Oryctolagus cuniculus: one gene and its partners. The protein of the gene in region 1 interacts with the protein of each later gene in a biochemical or structural test. Links are inferred from orthologs where the notes say so. Each region holds a gene or a part of one and is shown in the gene's direction. Other genes may lie near its edges.

Region 1 (4,099 bases):
TGCTGCCTGAGAGGAGTGGCTATTCGAGCTACTTCAGGAACCATGTATCTCGCTGGCCCACAGAGTGAGCTCTGCTCGCCTTGGAAGGGACAGGGCTGGGAGCGGGACCCCTGCCCTTCACTCTCCTGGGAAAGATGAACCAGGCAGGGGTCACTATCACTTTTGCCCTGTCCTCCTGGACTCAGTTCCCAAGGGCTCAGGCTGCTCTCTCCAGAGTTTTTTTTTTTTTTTTTTGAGGATGAGTTTTATGGGCCATGTGTGGCCACAAGTCAGGTCTCACTCTGATACAGACTTGGCTGTAACTGACCTGGAGTCTTGTCTTTCCCTGGCTGGGGCCCTCCTCTTATTTCTCCGCTGCTCTACTAGTCCAAGGAGGGAGCAGCTCAAGGGATGTGTTTGGTGATTATCTCCCAACCCTCTGGGAACAAGAAGAGCCCCGGATGCACCCTGGATTTCCTCTTCCAGGGGTGCAGCGGCCCTCCCAGGCAGCCTCTCTCCCGGCCAAGGGTCTGGGCCTCCCTCCACCCCTCCCCTGGCCCTGGTTATGCTGTGGGTCCCGCAGGACCCTGGGAATCGCCCTGGACTAAACCAGCTTTCTCAGAAACACCCACTTCTCAAGGCTCTAGGTTCAGGATTAGTTTTTCCATGTTGGAAATGAAAACCTTATCACTCTGAGTCTCTGCACACCCTCGGGAAGGGGCCGCTGGTCTCCCCGTCCGGACCGCGCGGCCGGCAGGTGGGAAGAAAGGGGCTCCTAGGGAGCCATCAGCCTCGCACCCTGCGTCTTCTCCCGTTTGAAGGTATAGCTCCTAACTCGTCCACGGCTCACAGTAGTGAATCTTCCCTGAAAAACCACACATGTACTAGAAAAGGGCAAAGCCTCGGAGAAGAACGCTCACCAGGTGCTCGCACCTGTCCCAGGGCGGGTGGCCCCCGAGGTCTCACCTGGCCAAGGCACCCCTTCTCTTCCAACTTGCCGCTGCCGCCCAAAATGGGCCAGACAATTGGAGGAAAGTGGATTTTCTCTCGGCATTACGCAGCAGCTCTCCCACGCCTCCCCGCGCCCCGCGCGCGGCGCCGGCCGAGGGACACGCTTTCCCCGGTCCTTCTCCCGCCCCGCGGGGTCCCAGCCCCCGGCCCCGGGCCCCGGGCCCCGGGCCTCCCCAGCACGCGGCCGGCGCCGCGCGTCCTCCCCTTTAAGGCCCGCCCCTCCCCCACACCCACACCGCCCCGGGCCCCGCCCCTCCGACCCTCCCCTTTAAGGACCGGCCCCGGACGCAGACGAGGCTGTGACGCGGCCGCCGGCCCCGGGGCTGGGACTTTGTCGCGCGGCCGCTGCCCCCCGGCCGGGCCCCGCTGTCCCGCGGCCCCCGGAGCGCCAGGCCCCCGGGGGGGGGAGGGAGGGAGGGAGGGAGGGTGTAGGGCCGGTGGGCACCAGCGGCGGGACCCACGGAGCCCCGCGGCCCGCAGAGCCTGGAGCCGGGCGGGGGCGCGGACGCCGGCTCCAGCCAGGAGCAAACTTCGCAGCCGGGCGGGGGGCAGCGGGGACCCCGTCCCGGGCCGGAGGAGGGGGCGGCCGCCGGCGCCATGCTGCCCGGCCCGCAGGGCCCGAGCGCGCCCGCGCCGCCCCCCGGGCCGCCGCCGCCGCCGCCGCCGCAGCAGCAGCCGCCCCCGGCCCCGGCGCAGCCCCCGGCCCCGGCGCCGCCGCCGCCGCCCCCGCAGCAGTTCCCGCAGTTCCACGTCAGGTCGGGCCTGCAGATCAAGAAAAACGCCATCATCGACGACTACAAGGTCACCAGCCAGGTCCTGGGGCTGGGCATCAACGGCAAAGTTCTGCAGATCTTCAGCAAGAAGACGCAGGAGAAATTCGCCCTCAAGGTAGGTGTGGGCCGGGGGGCGCGCGAGGGGAGCCCGCGGCCCCCGCCGAGTTTCCGGCCACCGCGGCGGCGCGGGGCACCCGCAGGGCTCCGGCGCCGGGGCCACTGGTGCCGAGCCCGCGCCGTGTCGGGGATACGGGGCCCCACGCCCGCCTCCCTCCTCCCTTTCTTCCCGCGGGCACAAAAGGCCCATTACTCACCGGGCGGGTGGTCGGTGGGTTTGGAGAAGTCGGATCTCGGAGGTTTCCTTCGGCTCGCTCCTTATTTGGGAGCCGGAATGTGTGATTTCACTTCCCGGGGCCTCGCGAGGGCGGCCGCGCGGGCCGGGGACCGGCGGGGCGGACGGGTCCCGCGCGCGGGCCACTCTAACTCCGGCCCGGGAACCCGGGGCCCGGGCGCCGCTCGCGTCCCGGGCGCCGCGCTCGCTGGGCGGTGGAGGGAGCGCCGGGGAAACCCAGCCTCTGTTTGTTTTGTTTTCGTTTGAAGGGGTGTCGGGGGCGGGGGTGCGGGTTTCTAAGCGGAGACCTGCCGGAGAAGTTGCCCGGAGCGCACCTGGCGGCCCGCGGAGGGGTGGGGGGCGCTCCGTCGGTCGGGGTCACCCGAAGGGTTTCGGCTCAGACCCTGTCTCCGGAGGGAGCCGGGCACATCTGTCTCCCTGGGGGGTGTCTTAATGATTGGAGGAGGAGAAAAATACTTCCTGTGTTGTATTTTTCTCTTCCCTTTCACGTTTCAGTTATCAAAGACAAAACTCAGATAGGAGTTGTGGGTGGAGCGTCGGATATACAACCAGCCTCATAGAAACCGGGCGCAGAGGGGCAGGCGTGCTCGATTTCGAGGGTTTTGGGGTCTCTGCAATGATTCTCTCGCCCCTTTTCTCCTCCACGCTGCCGGGTTTCTTGGCTTTTGGCCATAAGCTCCGGTTGTGGGATCTCTGCTGGTGGTGGCAATGGTGGGAGAGTGTTTGTCAGAATTTAGGGCACCCTGCAAGGTGTGCCTTACACTTCTTTCCATACCAACAGCCGGGAGAGGAGGGGGGAGGAACTGTTCCGCCTGACCATGGCTCTGACCTTGGGCATTGCCGTTGACGGGTCAGTTTGACCACGGTTAACCTGCATCCTGGAGGAGGTGACAGGCACGCTTTCCAGGAGGGTTTTGTGTCCTCTCTGAGTTGCCATCTGCCTTCCTTGTCCCCTGAATGGTTGGAATATGGCATAAAAAGGCTTGAGGACAAAAGCTCCCGACTTCTGCTGCGTAGACTTGGACACGCAAAACCACCTTCTGAAGTGCTTCTGGGTGGCAGTTCAGATTTTTATTGCAATTAATAGGCAAGCTGCTTGCATATTTTCCTCTTCTGAATAGTTCTGAAAGGAAGAAATGAGCAGCGTATTAAACAGCACTTGTAATTTATCCTCCTCAGGTTAGAGTGGGTGAAGATGGAAGGCAGAATGTTTTGACAGGCAGCCTGCTCCCAGACCTTCTAAGTTGACTCAACTGTTCAATGGTAGATTTCCCACACATCTCTGTGTTAAAACTTAATAATAGAGGAAGAGAGTAGGGGCGAGGCATCAGGAGACTGACAGCGGTGTCAACAGCACTTCCATATCCAAATATTGGCTAAGACATAATTGCAGCTGTGGGGGAATCTGGCTCAACGGATCCTGTTCCTCACACCAAAGAGACTTCCAGATCGGGAATTCTGATTAACCTTAGGGACTGAAGAATGGTGTGATTTTTTTTTTTTTTTAACAAGCAGAAGTCTTTTGATTGTAAAGTCAGATTTTTGATTATGAAGCTGTGGGGGCAGCAGGAGTACCCCCAAGAGGAAGGCTTCAAGAAGGAGGCAGACTAGCACTGGGCACAGTGTGGGAAGGCCATCGCTGGGGGCTCGCGCAGAGCCACAGGGGCTGGGAAGTGTGACAGCTCGAAGCTCGGAGCAGGTGGCAGCTGCTGGGATGCCCGGCTCCCTGTCTGTGGTCCGGTGACCTCTCAGACCTGTTAGGTGAGAGCAGGGCTTACCCAATGGTCCAGCGCGCCTGCTTTGTCTCCACCTCCACCTCTGAGAGCTGACATTTACATGGTTTTGGTGGGTGCTGTGACCTCAGCTCGCTGTCTCCCCTGGCTGCTCTTGCAGAGCTCTGAGTCACGCTCACGCTTGCAGGCAGAGCTGGACAGGACTCCAGCCGGCATCTCGTCAGCCCCCTCGTGTTGCAGGTGCGAGGAGT
Region 2 (3,998 bases), on another chromosome or scaffold:
CGAAGCAGCCCGGGCAACCGAGGCTTCTCCCCGGGCACCCCTGGCGGTCGCAGCCCGGCCGGCCCGCACCTGGGGACAACCCACTTCTTGCGTTTCAAAACAGCGCTCGGGCGAGGCGGTCTTCCCCAGGAGCGAGGGCCCGCCCACCTGTCCCATCTTGGGCGCCGTCCGGCAGAGGCCCCGCGGCCGGGCGGCTGCTGCTCCCGGGCTGGGGGCCTGCGAGGGTGACCTGACGTGGGTGTCCGGCAGTGTGAGCGCGTGGAAAGCGGAGACAGCCCTGAGTGCCCCCGCGGGTGTCTGCGACCCCACCCCCTCTCGATGACGGCGGCTCCCAGGCCTGGGTCTCCGGTTTGGGAGCGAGGCGGAGCTGCCCCAGCAGGTGTCAGAGAAGGGAATGCCCTATCAGGCAGAATGGTTTCCCTCCCTGCACTTGGCCAGAGTGGACTTTGGGCCTGGGGGGGGGGGTGTTGTTTCTTTGTTAATTCTTCCTCTTGGGGGTTCTTTGCGACCCCCCCCCTCGCTCGCACCGCTCCCGCCTCAGAACTTCTCTGGGGGGGTCGTCTCCTCCCTCGGTGTAGAATCTCTGCCTGTGTCTCTCCACCTCTGGTGTCTCTCCCTGCGCCTCCCTCCATCTCACCCTCTCTCAGCACGGCTCTGCGTGTCTCTCCCTTTCTCTCAGCGTTATGCCTTCCTGTCTCTGTGTCCCTGCGACTCCCTGTGTACGTCTGTTTCCCATGTTCCCCCCCCCACCCCCACACACACCCCGGGTCTCTTCCTCCCTGTCTCTCCCTTTCCAGCTACCTGCCGGCCTCTGGCTCGCTGTGTGAGCCCGTCCCTCCCTCTGCTTCTCGTCGGTTTTTTCTCTCCTCTGCCCACCCCCCGCGCCGTCAGCCGCGCAGGCCCTCTCGGCCTCTGCCCTTGTCAGTTGCTCCGGCAGCCCTGCCCCCACCCGTGTCCCAGTTCCATTCTCCGGCCTCCGTCTCTAGCCTTGAAACCTGGGCAGGCAGACGCCCTTCCCGCCCCGCGCCCCACCCCACGCACTCCCCTCCGGGCCGCCCCGCCGCGCGCAGGCCCCGTCCTGGCCGGCAGCCGGGCGGAAGGGGACTAGCCCAGGGCCCGTCGGGCTGCGCCGGGGGCGCGCGTCCGGGAAGCGCCCCTCCTGGCCCCGCCCCGCCCTGGGCCCGCCCCTCTCGACCACGCCCCCACTGCCCTATAAGAAGGTGTCTGTCGCGGGTAGCCGCAGCCTGGTTTCAGCGCTCCGACTTTGGGCCGATCCCTCAGGGCCAAACGCGCCGCCATGGATCTCACAGCCATCTACGAGGTGAGTCCCCTCCGGACTCCCCAGCGCCGGGACGCTAGCCTCCCTGCCAAGCTGGGGGGGGGGGCTCTTCTGCGCTACACCCTCCGACCCCGGCCCCCGGCTGCCTTTTCCGGACCGACCTGATTATCGGGGGGCGGGGGTGGGGGGTGGGAAGTAAAAATGGAGCCCCCGCCTGCCGGCTCTCGGCCCGGCCGGCACTTGGGTGGGGGCCCCGTGGAGTGGCCGCTGGGAAACTTTGCTCAGACCAGGGCTGGTCGGAGGCGGAAACGGCGCCGCACCTGGCTCACCCCTCGTAGTCGCCGAGGGCGCGGTGCCGCGCGGAGGCGTTTTTGGGGCTGAGTCTCGGGGCGGGGAAGCCGACTTCTGCCTCTGACGCCTCGACCCGCCTTCTCCGGGAACTCAAACCCCAAAGACCAGACTCCCGAGTTGGCTCTGCCAGGCTCCTCCCGTTGTGAAACTGGAGAACTAACCCGCTGCGCTCCTCATATCCGGGAAGGCCCAGCGGCTCCAAGTTGGGGACCTGACTTTAGGGTCCCCTGTTGATCCTCCCGGGAAGCTGGGATTCCTCCTCCAGCCGTGGCTCAACGCAGAGCCCCTGAACCGGGATCGCCGCTGGGTTCCGGAAATCCCGGTTGCCGTGGGCGGGTGGGGCTCCGGCCGGGAGCCCACAAACCGGCCTGGCAAGGTCTTGAAGTGCCCTGCAGCTGGGGCGCGCCTCGCCCTGCGTCTGCGGGTGTCCTAACCCGATCCCTGTTCCCACAGAGCCTCGTGTCGCTGCACCCTGACCCCCCATCCGACCACGGAGGGACGGATCCTTCGGGACTCTGGGGCCCGGCTGGGATCACCTCTCGCCTGCCGGGCCGCTCCACCAGCCTGGTAGAGGGCCGCAGCTGCGGCTGGGTGCCGCCACCCCCTGGCTTCGCACCCCTGGCTCCCCGCCCGGGCCCGGAGCTGGCGCCCTCGCCCACCTCGCCCACGGCGACCCCCACCACCTCCTCCCGCTACAAGACTGAGCTGTGTCGGACCTTCTCGGAGAGTGGACGCTGCCGCTACGGCGCCAAATGCCAGTTTGCCCATGGCCTGGGCGAGCTGCGCCAAGCCAATCGCCACCCCAAGTACAAGACTGAACTCTGCCACAAGTTCTACCTCCAGGGCCGCTGTCCCTACGGCTCCCGCTGCCACTTCATCCACAACCCCAGCGAGGACCTGGCCGCCCCCGGCCACCCCCACGTGCTGCGCCAGAGCGTGAGCTTCTCCGGCCTGCCCTCCGGCCGCAGGACATCGCCTCCGCCGCCGGGCCTCGCAGGCCCCTCCCTGTCCTCCTGCTCCTTCTCGCCACCCAGCTCCCCGCCCCCACCGGGGGACGCTCCGCTTTCACCCTCGGCCTTCTCTGCCGCCCCTGGGACCCCCGTGGCTCGAAGGGACCCCACGCCCGCCTGCTGCCCCTCCTGCCGCCGGGCCAACCCTGTCAGCATCTGGGGGCCCTTGGGTGGCCTGGCCCGGAGCCCCTCGGCGCACTCCCTGGGCTCAGACCCGGATGAGTACGCCAGCAGCGGCAGCAGCCTGGGGGGGTCCGACTCTCCTGTCTTCGAGACGGGAGCTTTCGGGCCACCCCAGCCGCCTGCAGCCCCCAGGCGCCTCCCCATCTTCAACCGCATCTCCGTGTCTGAGTGACGGAGATCCGTTGGATAGAGGGGCGCCGCGGTGTGCCGTGGGTTCCGCTGGGCCCAGGGCCTGTGGGGAAGGGATCCTAATTCATTCAAGTGGGTCCCTCCCTCCCCCGCATTCCAAAATGCATTAACTTCACCCCTGACCCCACGCTGGGGCAGGTCCCCGGTGTGCAAGCTCAGTGTTCACGGTGTTGGGGGACAGAGTGCTCTCTGGGGTTCTTTGAAGATGTAGCATACTGGAGGGAGACAGTGAGCCCCGTCCCCCCCGACCTGCACCCCGTCTGAATCTCCTGGAATCTCATGTGCTGTGAATAGTAGCCCCCTGCGCGCCCCCTCCCACTTCTTCCTGAGGTCCCAGCGTCTGGTGGTGAGTGGAGCCTCCCCGAGGGAGACTCCTGGTGCTCAAATTTCCCTCCACAAGCAAGCAAAGCCGTTGCCAAACCCCTCCCCCAACCGACGGGCCCTTTATTTATGACGACTTTATTTATTCTAATAAGGTTTTATAGTATTTATATATATTGAGTCGTCTGCTTCCTTTGTATTTTTTCCTCCTCTTTTTTGTAATATTGGAAACTGGTATAATTATTAAGTATGCTATAATAATATATTAAGTAATATATATTGTTACCTTAAAAGTCTATTTTTGTGTTTTAGAATTTTTAAATAAAAGGAACCGGCGTGTAAACTGGAACCCTGGCCTTTGTGCTGTCCGGGGCGGGGAGGGGGCGAGAGCCCAGCCGCCCTGCGGCGCTTACCTGGCAGGAAGTGACGTCACCAGGCCCGCCGTTCACCTGAGAGGGCGGGGCCAGGTGAGGTCACGGGGGGGAGCCGGGCGAGCCGGTTCCCGAGGCGTCTGGGGACGCTGCACTCGCGTCCTGCCGGGCTGCTAGGCCCGAGCGGGCGGGGACGGGACATTTCCGTCCCCACGGGGCCGGGGCGGCGAGAGGACGGAATGTGCCGGCGCCAGGCGCGGGGCGGGCGGGGACGGCCCGTGGAGTCTGGGGTCT
Region 3 (3,361 bases), on another chromosome or scaffold:
CCCCAAACGGCCACGACAGCCAGGCTGAAGCCAGGAGCTTCTACGGCACAGCACCAGCCTCCAAATAATTAAATTAAAAAAGAAAGGAAACAGGCTCAGAGAGGGGAGGGGGCTTCCTGCTACCCCAGCCTCTCAGCAGTGAGTGACCGGGAGTCTGGCTGCTGTGGGTGGGGAGCCCCAGCCCCCGTGTGTGTCTGGGAGAGGAAGCAGGGAGCGGCAGGGCCACAGGCTGACCCTGCCTGAGTTTTAGGGAAGACCAGGGCTGTCACCCAATTTCTTGGACCTTTAGGTTCCTCTCACAGAACGTCTACCAGGGGAGAAGGCAGGCTGGACAGGGGGTGCCCGTGAAGTGCAGACAGAGCAACTGTGGAGTATAAAGGATGGCCAGCGGAGTCGGGGGAGGGGGGTGTCGGAGGAGGCAGGTGGGGGTGGGGTGTGTGTGTGTCATGGAGGAGGCAGGTGGGGGTGGGACTGTGTCAGATGGAGGAGGCGGGTGGGGGTGGGGGGTGTGTGTCATGGAGGAGGCAGGTGGGGGTGGGAGTGTGTCAGATGGAGGAGGCAGGGGAGGGTGGGGTGTGTGTCAGATGGATGAGGCGAGTGGGGGTGTGTGAGAGGGGGCAGGAGGGGGTGGGGTGTCCAGGCTCACAGCCAGCTAGAGTGAACTGTACCACGTGGAGGCCCCTTGCCCTGCGCCCCGAGGACCATCAATTGCAGAAAGGGAAACTGAGGCCCAGCAAGGAGATTTTGCCCCTAGTCACAGCAGGAAGCCAGGGAGCCAAGCCCCGCCTGCTCTCAAGTTTGCTGCACTTGAGGTTCCCTGGCCAGGGTTTAAGGGAAGCCAGGTCCTAGCAGGGAGCCGGAACAACAAACTTCCTCCAGACCCCTCTCTCTCAGCGCTAGAGCTTGGAGGTCTCTGGTCCGGGTAGGGGGGAAAGGCCAGACCCCACCAACTCCGCCTCCTCATCCCCTTCCAGGTGGATGACGACAGCGAACCAGGATGACCCAGCAGGCGCATGACGTCACTGCATTCCCTGCTAACCCAATCACCAAGCATTTTCGCTGCCAGATTTTCCAGATGGGGAAAGTGAGGCAGGAGCCTCACTGCCACAAGCCAGCCCGCCTGGTGGTAGAAGCATGCGCCCCGCCCCAGGGACCCCCCGTGGTCACTCTGGGACCACCCAACCTCCTGTGACCCCTGGGTCTTCCACAAAAGACACGGGCTGGCCGCCGGCCACTGCGCTTGAGCGCGCAGGCTGTAGGGCCCGGCCGTGGGCGCGGCTCCAGCCACGCATTTCGCTTCCCTAAACCGGAGAAGGTTCCAGATGTGGGCAGAACCTTCCACGGCCCGCCCCTGTAATCACGGGGGAGGAATTCAGGGGGCGGGGCAGCCCCCAGCTGGTCATTGCCATTAATAGAGACCCGAAGCACCGCCTGCTAAAAATACCCGGCTGGAGACCCATAAAAGCGCGTCTGGGGCCGCAGCCCCGCACTTCTCCGCGCCCCTGCCCCGCGCACCGCAACCATGACCGAGCGCCGCGTGCCTTTCTCGCTCCTGCGCAGCCCCAGCTGGGACCCGTTCCGCGACTGGTACCCGGTGCACAGCCGCCTCTTCGACCAGGCCTTCGGGCTGCCGCGGCTGCCCGAGGAGTGGGCGCAGTGGTTCGGCGGCAGCAGCTGGCCAGGCTACGTGCGGCCCCTGCCCGCCGCGGAGGCCCCCGCCGTGGCCGCGCCCGCCTACAGCCGTGCGCTCAGCCGGCAGCTCAGCAGCGGCGTCTCGGAGATCCGGCACACGGCCGACCGCTGGCGCGTGTCCCTGGACGTGAACCACTTCGCCCCGGAGGAGCTGACGGTCAAGACCAAGGACGGCGTGGTGGAGATCACGGGTGAGCCCCGGGCCGGGGCGCAGGGGCCGGGGGTGGGGTGGGGTGGGGTGGAGTTAAAAGTCCGCCGGAGCGCCGCCCCGGCCCGCGGCGCGGCAGGGGCGCAGGGGACGGCGGGGAGCGGTGCGGGCTGCCCCTGAGGGTCCCTCTATTGGGGGCAGAGGCGCTGCTTCCAGCCAAGACCCCCGCCCCAAATCAGCAGCGCCCCAGGACCGCGCAGGGAGACTGGGGGGGGGGGCGTGTGCCCCGCCCCACGCGCGCCTGCGCGGCTGGCCACTCCCCAAACTCGGAACTTTCCAGAAGTTTGAGGGTCCCGACAGTCAGGCGCACGCCACACCCCCTGCCAGTCTCCAGCAGTTGCTGGCTCAGGCTGTGCCTGTCTGGGGCCCCAGCTACCCCTGAGCAAGTGGAGGGGCCCCCTTCCCGTGACCTCTGACCTCCCTCTGCACCCCCCCAACCCAGGCAAACACGAAGAGCGACAGGACGAACACGGCTACATCTCCCGCTGTTTCACCCGGAAGTACACGTGAGTCCTGGCCCTGGCCAGCTAGGGGGTGGGAACCCGGGGAGGAGTGACCCCTGCCGCCCAGCGCTGTGTTAACTCTTTCTTGCCCTCTTCCTTCCCTGCCGCGTCCAGGCTGCCCCCCGGCGTGGACCCCACGCTGGTCTCCTCCTCGCTGTCCCCTGAGGGTACGCTCACCGTGGAAGCGCCGCTGCCCAAGCCGGCCACGCAGTCGGCGGAGATCACCATCCCGGTCACCTTCGAGGCCCGCGCCCAGATCGGCGGCCCGGAAGCCGGGAAGTCCGAGCAGCCTGCGGCCAAGTAGAGCGCCCTCGCGCGCCGCCCAGCCCCCAGCACCCACCTGCGTGCCCTTTTGATACTGTTAAGCTTCTGGTCTTCGCAAATAAAGTTCAAAGCAGCTGCTTGCTCCTGCCTGGGACCCTGGTGTTTGGAGGGGGGAGGGGCGGGTCACATGGCGTCATTTTGGCACAGAGGGGTAGACGACCCTAGGGGTCTCCTGTCCATGGAGAAGGGGAATGATTGCAACCAGACAGGGCCAGGTGTGGGAGTCTGCAAACCCAGGAGACGCACCTGTCCCAGGTGAGGAGGAACTGAGCAGGAGTAGGGGAGGGCGCTTGCCCGGAGCTCCCAGACCCTCGGTGAAGCAGGCAATTCCAGGTGACTGAGCCCACCTGGGCAGCCCCTTGGTGCGGCATGGGCTCTGCCCCTGCCCCTGGGCACCGTGCGCAGGGGGAAGGGGGTGTGGCCCAGGTGTTGGTCCGGAAGGCTGTGATCTTGATATGCAGAGCTGCCTTGACTTGCCCGGGCGGGGACAGCCACACCCCCTCAGCCCTCTCCCTCTTCTGCCTGGCCCTCCCTGCCAGCCTCTTCCCTAGACTTAAGGAGAGGGTCCCGACGGATCTGAAAGAGGCAGGAAGCCAATGGGGGCTTTGAAGTCCAGTCTCAGTCCGCAGGAGCT
Region 4 (4,255 bases), on another chromosome or scaffold:
AAGAAACGCGCGAGGCCCGAGGAGGCGGCCCGGCCCGCGTGGAAATAGGAAAGACACGCGGCCCCGCGATTTCCGCCTCGCTGTGCGCCCCGGCGCCCGGGCGGAGGCCGGGGCAGGGGCGGGGGGGGGGCATCCGGACCTAGCAGTAAATAAGTGGGTATTTTATCATTTTTTAAAAAGGGAGTTCATGATCACCGCGGGCCTTTTGGTTCGTGGGTCCCGTGTCGCCCCCTCCCCACCGCCCGCCAAATCAGCGCGGCCAGCCCAGCCATATGTTCCGTCCCCGTGGGGGCGGGAGGGAAACGACAATGAGTTAAAAGTGTCGCCTCCCCCTATTCGCCTGCGTGCTTAGCCAAAGTCACTTTTTTTTTCATTGTTCTAGTGTCGGGGCGAGGGAGGTGTGTGTGGGGGACGGGGGAAGTCGAGGCCTGTGTTTGAGAGCGCGCGTGGAAAGTGGTTCGTTGCTGTGGTTTCTTTTTTTCCTTTTTTTTTTTTTTGCGGGGAGGAAGCATTTAGGGTTTTCCTGTGCTTTTAAAAGTTTAGATTGGATGCGTGAAAGAAGCGCCACGCCTAGACCTGTTAAAAGTAGCAATCAGCCCGAGCGGTGGTCTTTTTTGGCAACGCCCCCCCCCCCCCGCCCACACCCAGACAAGCGCGGGCTGCAAAGCGAGCGCGAGTGTAGACGCGTGCTTGGCCCAGAATCGTGCTGTGCTCGCCCCCGCTGGGCGAAAAAGTTTCCCGAGTACCCCCGCCCCCCACTCCGCAAAAATAAAATAAAATAAAATAAAAAATAAAACAAACAAACAAACACAAACCCCCTCCAAGCCTCCAACCCTCGGCTCTAACGCTGCGTGCGTGCCGGCCCGCCCGGTTCGCTGGGAGACGCCGGGAGTGGTGCGGGCGCCTGGCGAAGTTTTCAGGGGACACCCGCACCCGTCGGACAACGCAGCCCGGGCGCACGGGACGAGCAAAAAAAAAAAAAAAAAAAAAAAAAAAGGAGAAAGTCGAGCCCGCCTTCGTGCCGGACAGAAAACAACAACACGACAACAGGCACCGAGCTGGGGGGGGTGACGTCACAGACCTGGGCTCGGCGGCTGTGTCCCTCCCCCTGCGCCGCGCGCACCCGGGGCGCGGGCCGGCCGAGCCCGCCGACTCGAAAGTTTTCCTCTTTAAGAAAAAAAAAAAAAGTTGTGCGCGGCTCGCAGTGGTTTTTTTTTTCCGCCTCTTTCCTCGTCTCCCCTCCCCCTTCTTGCTTTTCTCTCCTCCCCCCCCACTCCACCCCCAGCTTGACCGCATGGCTGATTCAACCTCGGTGTCAATCAACTTTTTTCCCCCTCCTCTTCCTCATTTAAATAACTTTAGAGCTCCTCCTCCCCCCCCCCGCCCCGGCCCACCAAATCTGAAACTTTATAAATTGGGCTTTGCGCGCCGCAGCCCGGGAGAGTGAGACAGGCGAGGGGCGCTGGGAGCAGGCGCGCGGGAGTCCAGACCCCAGAGCCGGCGGCTGCGCCTTCCCCGCACCGGGACCTTCGCCACGCACCAGACCCTCGCCTCTGCCCCCCGTGCGAGCGCTCAGGATGACCACCACCCTCGTGTCTGCTACCATCTTCGACTTGAGCGAAGTTTTATGCAAGGTAAAGTGGGGCGGAGCGACTGCTTTTTCGAAAAGTCTTTTTCGGTTTTGCCTTAAGAACGGCCGCACTCGTCCGTCCCCGGGGAGGCGGGGGGGAAGTTTGGGTCTTTGGAAAGCAGGAGGAAGAGGAGGGAGGCGAAGCAAGAGCTGCTTTGCGTCTCCGCCTGAGGTTCCGGCCGAGTTTGAAGGAATTTGTCCTCCGCACCCTTGGAGTCTCCACGGCCCCTGGCGGGGATGACCCCGGGGTCTAGGAGCCAGGATCCTGGGGGGCGAAGGCTGCGTGGCATCGGGGCAGGTCTGGGGCGAGTCCTCGGCCCGCGACGTGTGGCTGGGGCCGGGGTGCGCCCCGGTGCCGCGGCGCGGAGGGGCACGCGTCCATGCAAGCGCGGCCGGCTTGTGGGCTGGGCGTGGGGCTGCGGGGGTCCCGCGGGAAAACGAGTCTGGCGCGACGCGTGGCCGGGAGGTAACCCCACGCTTTCTGCTTCGGAGGAGCTGGGGAATCCATTCGGAGGAGAAAGGCCTCCAGTGGTGATTGAAAAGATGTTGCCAATGAGTCGGCGGCGGGGTTAGGGCCGCCGGGCCCGACGGCGCTGTGGGTCTAGGGGGCGAGTGGGCCCCGGGCTGCTCCCGAAGACCCGCGCGGCTCATGGGCCGTGGTGTTGGTGGTGGTGGTGGGGGACAGGGGGTCGTAACAAACTGCCAGGCTGAGCTTAAGGGTCCCTGTGAGGGGCCTGCTTCTTGGGCTTTGTAGCTTTGCCAGCCCGTGTTGGATAAAGCCGGTTTCAAACTCGGAGCCGTTCCAGGAGTGCGGTTTCAATGTACAGAACCAAAGCCTGTGGTGGTTGTTAAACTTCTTTGCAACCGCCCCCTCCCCCAGTTTGAAAGGGTGAAGCTGCTAGGCTGCTTTTAATTGCTGAAGTGTTTCTCCCCGGTCTTCAACACGTCGGGTCATGTTGCCGTCTTCCCTGCTCGCTGCTGCTGTCGGCGCAGCTGCCAGGGCCCCGGGGCTGCAGGCTTGGGGTGCCGGACGCCGGGAGCTGCAGAACAACTTTTAAGAAGTTGGAATGCTCAGCTTTCCTCCCTCGCGACCTCCACTCGCTCCCGCAGTCTCCCCCCTTCCCCGCGCGCTCCCGCTCTTTGATCTAGTGCGCTTTCTTCGCCCCCTCCCCCCGGCAGGACTTTTTAAATGAACCTCATTGTTGGGAACCGGCTCTCCACTGGGTTCCTGTAATCCGCTCGGTGGGGTGGTTGCAGTTACAGATTCCCGATCCCCCACGGCTGATCCCGAGGGGCCGACTTTAGAATTGGCACGGTGGCACCCACACGACCTGGGAGCCAACTCCCAGGTTCCCCCCCATCACACCCTTTCCAAAGCTCGTCCACCCTTTGGGCAGGTGACCAGGGTCTCATTGGAACAGAAACTTGCCTGTAGTTGCTCTGCAACACCCCCCCCCATCTGCTATTGATTGGGAGGTGGGGGGTGGGTGCTTGCCCTGGCTTCCCATCTGCAGCTTCGCGTTAAAGATTAAACACTGGTACTCTTCTTCAAGCCTGCTCTTGCAGCCAGGGCACTCACTGCAAAGGCATCTTTGCAGCCCAGGGGGTTGGGGAGAGCATTGTGGAATAGCCCCTTGGAGGAGCCTGGAGCCCCCTCCCTCCCCTTCCCCAGCGCAGACCGGGGCCCCTAGGTCTTCCGTCCTGCCCCCTTCAAGCAGGGAGCTCAGGCAGCCGTGAGCACCTGTTGCCCAGGGAAGGGAGCACTCTTCTGGACGAGGAAGTCCAGAGTCGTGGGCCAGGTCGTGCGTGGGAGCAGAGACGGATCAAGAGGGGGACTTGACTGTTAACTTTGCTCTCTGAGGCTTTTCATTTTTGGTAGGGGGAGGGGAGTCTTGCCAGGTCTGGGCTGAGCTGGGTACTTTGGGTGGAGGGGCCCAGGGGGGAGGTCAGGGAGTTGGTTTTACAGGTACAAGTGGTTATGAGGGTGCACGGCCTGGGTCAGCGTGGAGCAGGACAGAAGGAGAAGCAGTTTGTCAGCCAGCATTTTGTGGTTTCTTATTCATGGGACCAAAATCCACCTGGGGGCGGTTGGGGGCGGGGAGACGGCTCCTGTGAGAGGGGCCTGCCCCCGGCTGGATGCCCCCCATGGCTGACCGCCCCTTTCTCTGCCCTCTCCTCCCTGCAGGGTAACAAGATGATCAACTACAGTGCTCCCAGCACCGCGGGCTGCCTGCTGGACAGAAAGGCAGTGGGCACCCCTGCTGGCGGGGGCTTCCCCCGGAGGCACTCGGTCACCCTACCCAGCTCCAAGTTCCACCAGAACCAACTCCTCAGCACCCTCAAGGGCGAGCCGGCCGCGGCCCTGAGCTCCCGGGACAGCCGCTTCCGCGACCGCTCCTTCTCCGAAGGGGGCGAGCGGCTGCTGCCGCCGCAGAAGCAGCCCGGGAGCGGCCAGGTCAACTCGAGCCGCTACAAGACGGAGCTGTGCCGCCCCTTCGAGGAGAACGGCGCCTGTAAGTACGGGGACAAGTGCCAGTTCGCGCACGGCATCCACGAGCTGCGCAGCCTGACCCGCCACCCCAAGTACAAGACGGAGCTGTGCCGCACCTTCCACACCATCGGCTT

What was found.
Region 2: of the proteins of MAPKAPK2 (region 1) and ZFP36, one has a biochemical effect on the other in vitro, tested with the Homo sapiens proteins (2 studies listed by BioGRID). The link is inferred for Oryctolagus cuniculus from reciprocal best matches to the Homo sapiens genes MAPKAPK2 and ZFP36.
Region 3: of the proteins of MAPKAPK2 (region 1) and HSPB1, one has a biochemical effect on the other in vitro, tested with the Homo sapiens proteins (17 studies listed by BioGRID and IntAct, with this or other methods). The link is inferred for Oryctolagus cuniculus from reciprocal best matches to the Homo sapiens genes MAPKAPK2 and HSPB1.
Region 4: of the proteins of MAPKAPK2 (region 1) and ZFP36L1, one has a biochemical effect on the other in vitro, tested with the Homo sapiens proteins (2 studies listed by BioGRID). The link is inferred for Oryctolagus cuniculus from reciprocal best matches to the Homo sapiens genes MAPKAPK2 and ZFP36L1.

Annotation. Positions count from the first base shown.
Region 1 is NC_091444.1:21,850,314-21,854,412, forward strand, and holds the start of MAPKAPK2 (MAP kinase-activated protein kinase 2), read left to right. Parts: upstream 1-1,283; 5' UTR 1,284-1,587; coding exon 1,588-1,878; intron 1,879-2,077; exon of another isoform or gene 2,078-2,216; intron 2,217-4,099. UniProt on the Homo sapiens protein: Stress-activated serine/threonine-protein kinase involved in cytokine production, endocytosis, reorganization of the cytoskeleton, cell migration, cell cycle control, chromatin remodeling, DNA damage response and transcriptional regulation.
Region 2 is NC_091449.1:15,543,506-15,547,503, reverse strand, and holds ZFP36 (mRNA decay activator protein ZFP36), read left to right. Parts: upstream 1-1,161; 5' UTR 1,162-1,297; coding exon 1,298-1,321; intron 1,322-2,083; coding exon 2,084-2,995; 3' UTR 2,996-3,682; downstream 3,683-3,998. UniProt on the Homo sapiens protein: Zinc-finger RNA-binding protein that destabilizes several cytoplasmic AU-rich element (ARE)-containing mRNA transcripts by promoting their poly(A) tail removal or deadenylation, and hence provide a mechanism for attenuating protein synthesis.
Region 3 is NC_091450.1:44,266,146-44,269,506, reverse strand, and holds HSPB1 (heat shock protein beta-1), read left to right. Parts: upstream 1-1,360; 5' UTR 1,361-1,522; coding exon 1,523-1,883; intron 1,884-2,342; coding exon 2,343-2,406; intron 2,407-2,517; coding exon 2,518-2,707; 3' UTR 2,708-2,808; downstream 2,809-3,361. UniProt on the Homo sapiens protein: Small heat shock protein which functions as a molecular chaperone probably maintaining denatured proteins in a folding-competent state. Plays a role in stress resistance and actin organization.
Region 4 is NC_091451.1:14,687,936-14,692,190, reverse strand, and holds the start of ZFP36L1 (mRNA decay activator protein ZFP36L1), read left to right. Parts: upstream 1-1,421; 5' UTR 1,422-1,577; coding exon 1,578-1,634; intron 1,635-3,815; coding exon 3,816-4,255. UniProt on the Homo sapiens protein: Zinc-finger RNA-binding protein that destabilizes several cytoplasmic AU-rich element (ARE)-containing mRNA transcripts by promoting their poly(A) tail removal or deadenylation, and hence provide a mechanism for attenuating protein synthesis.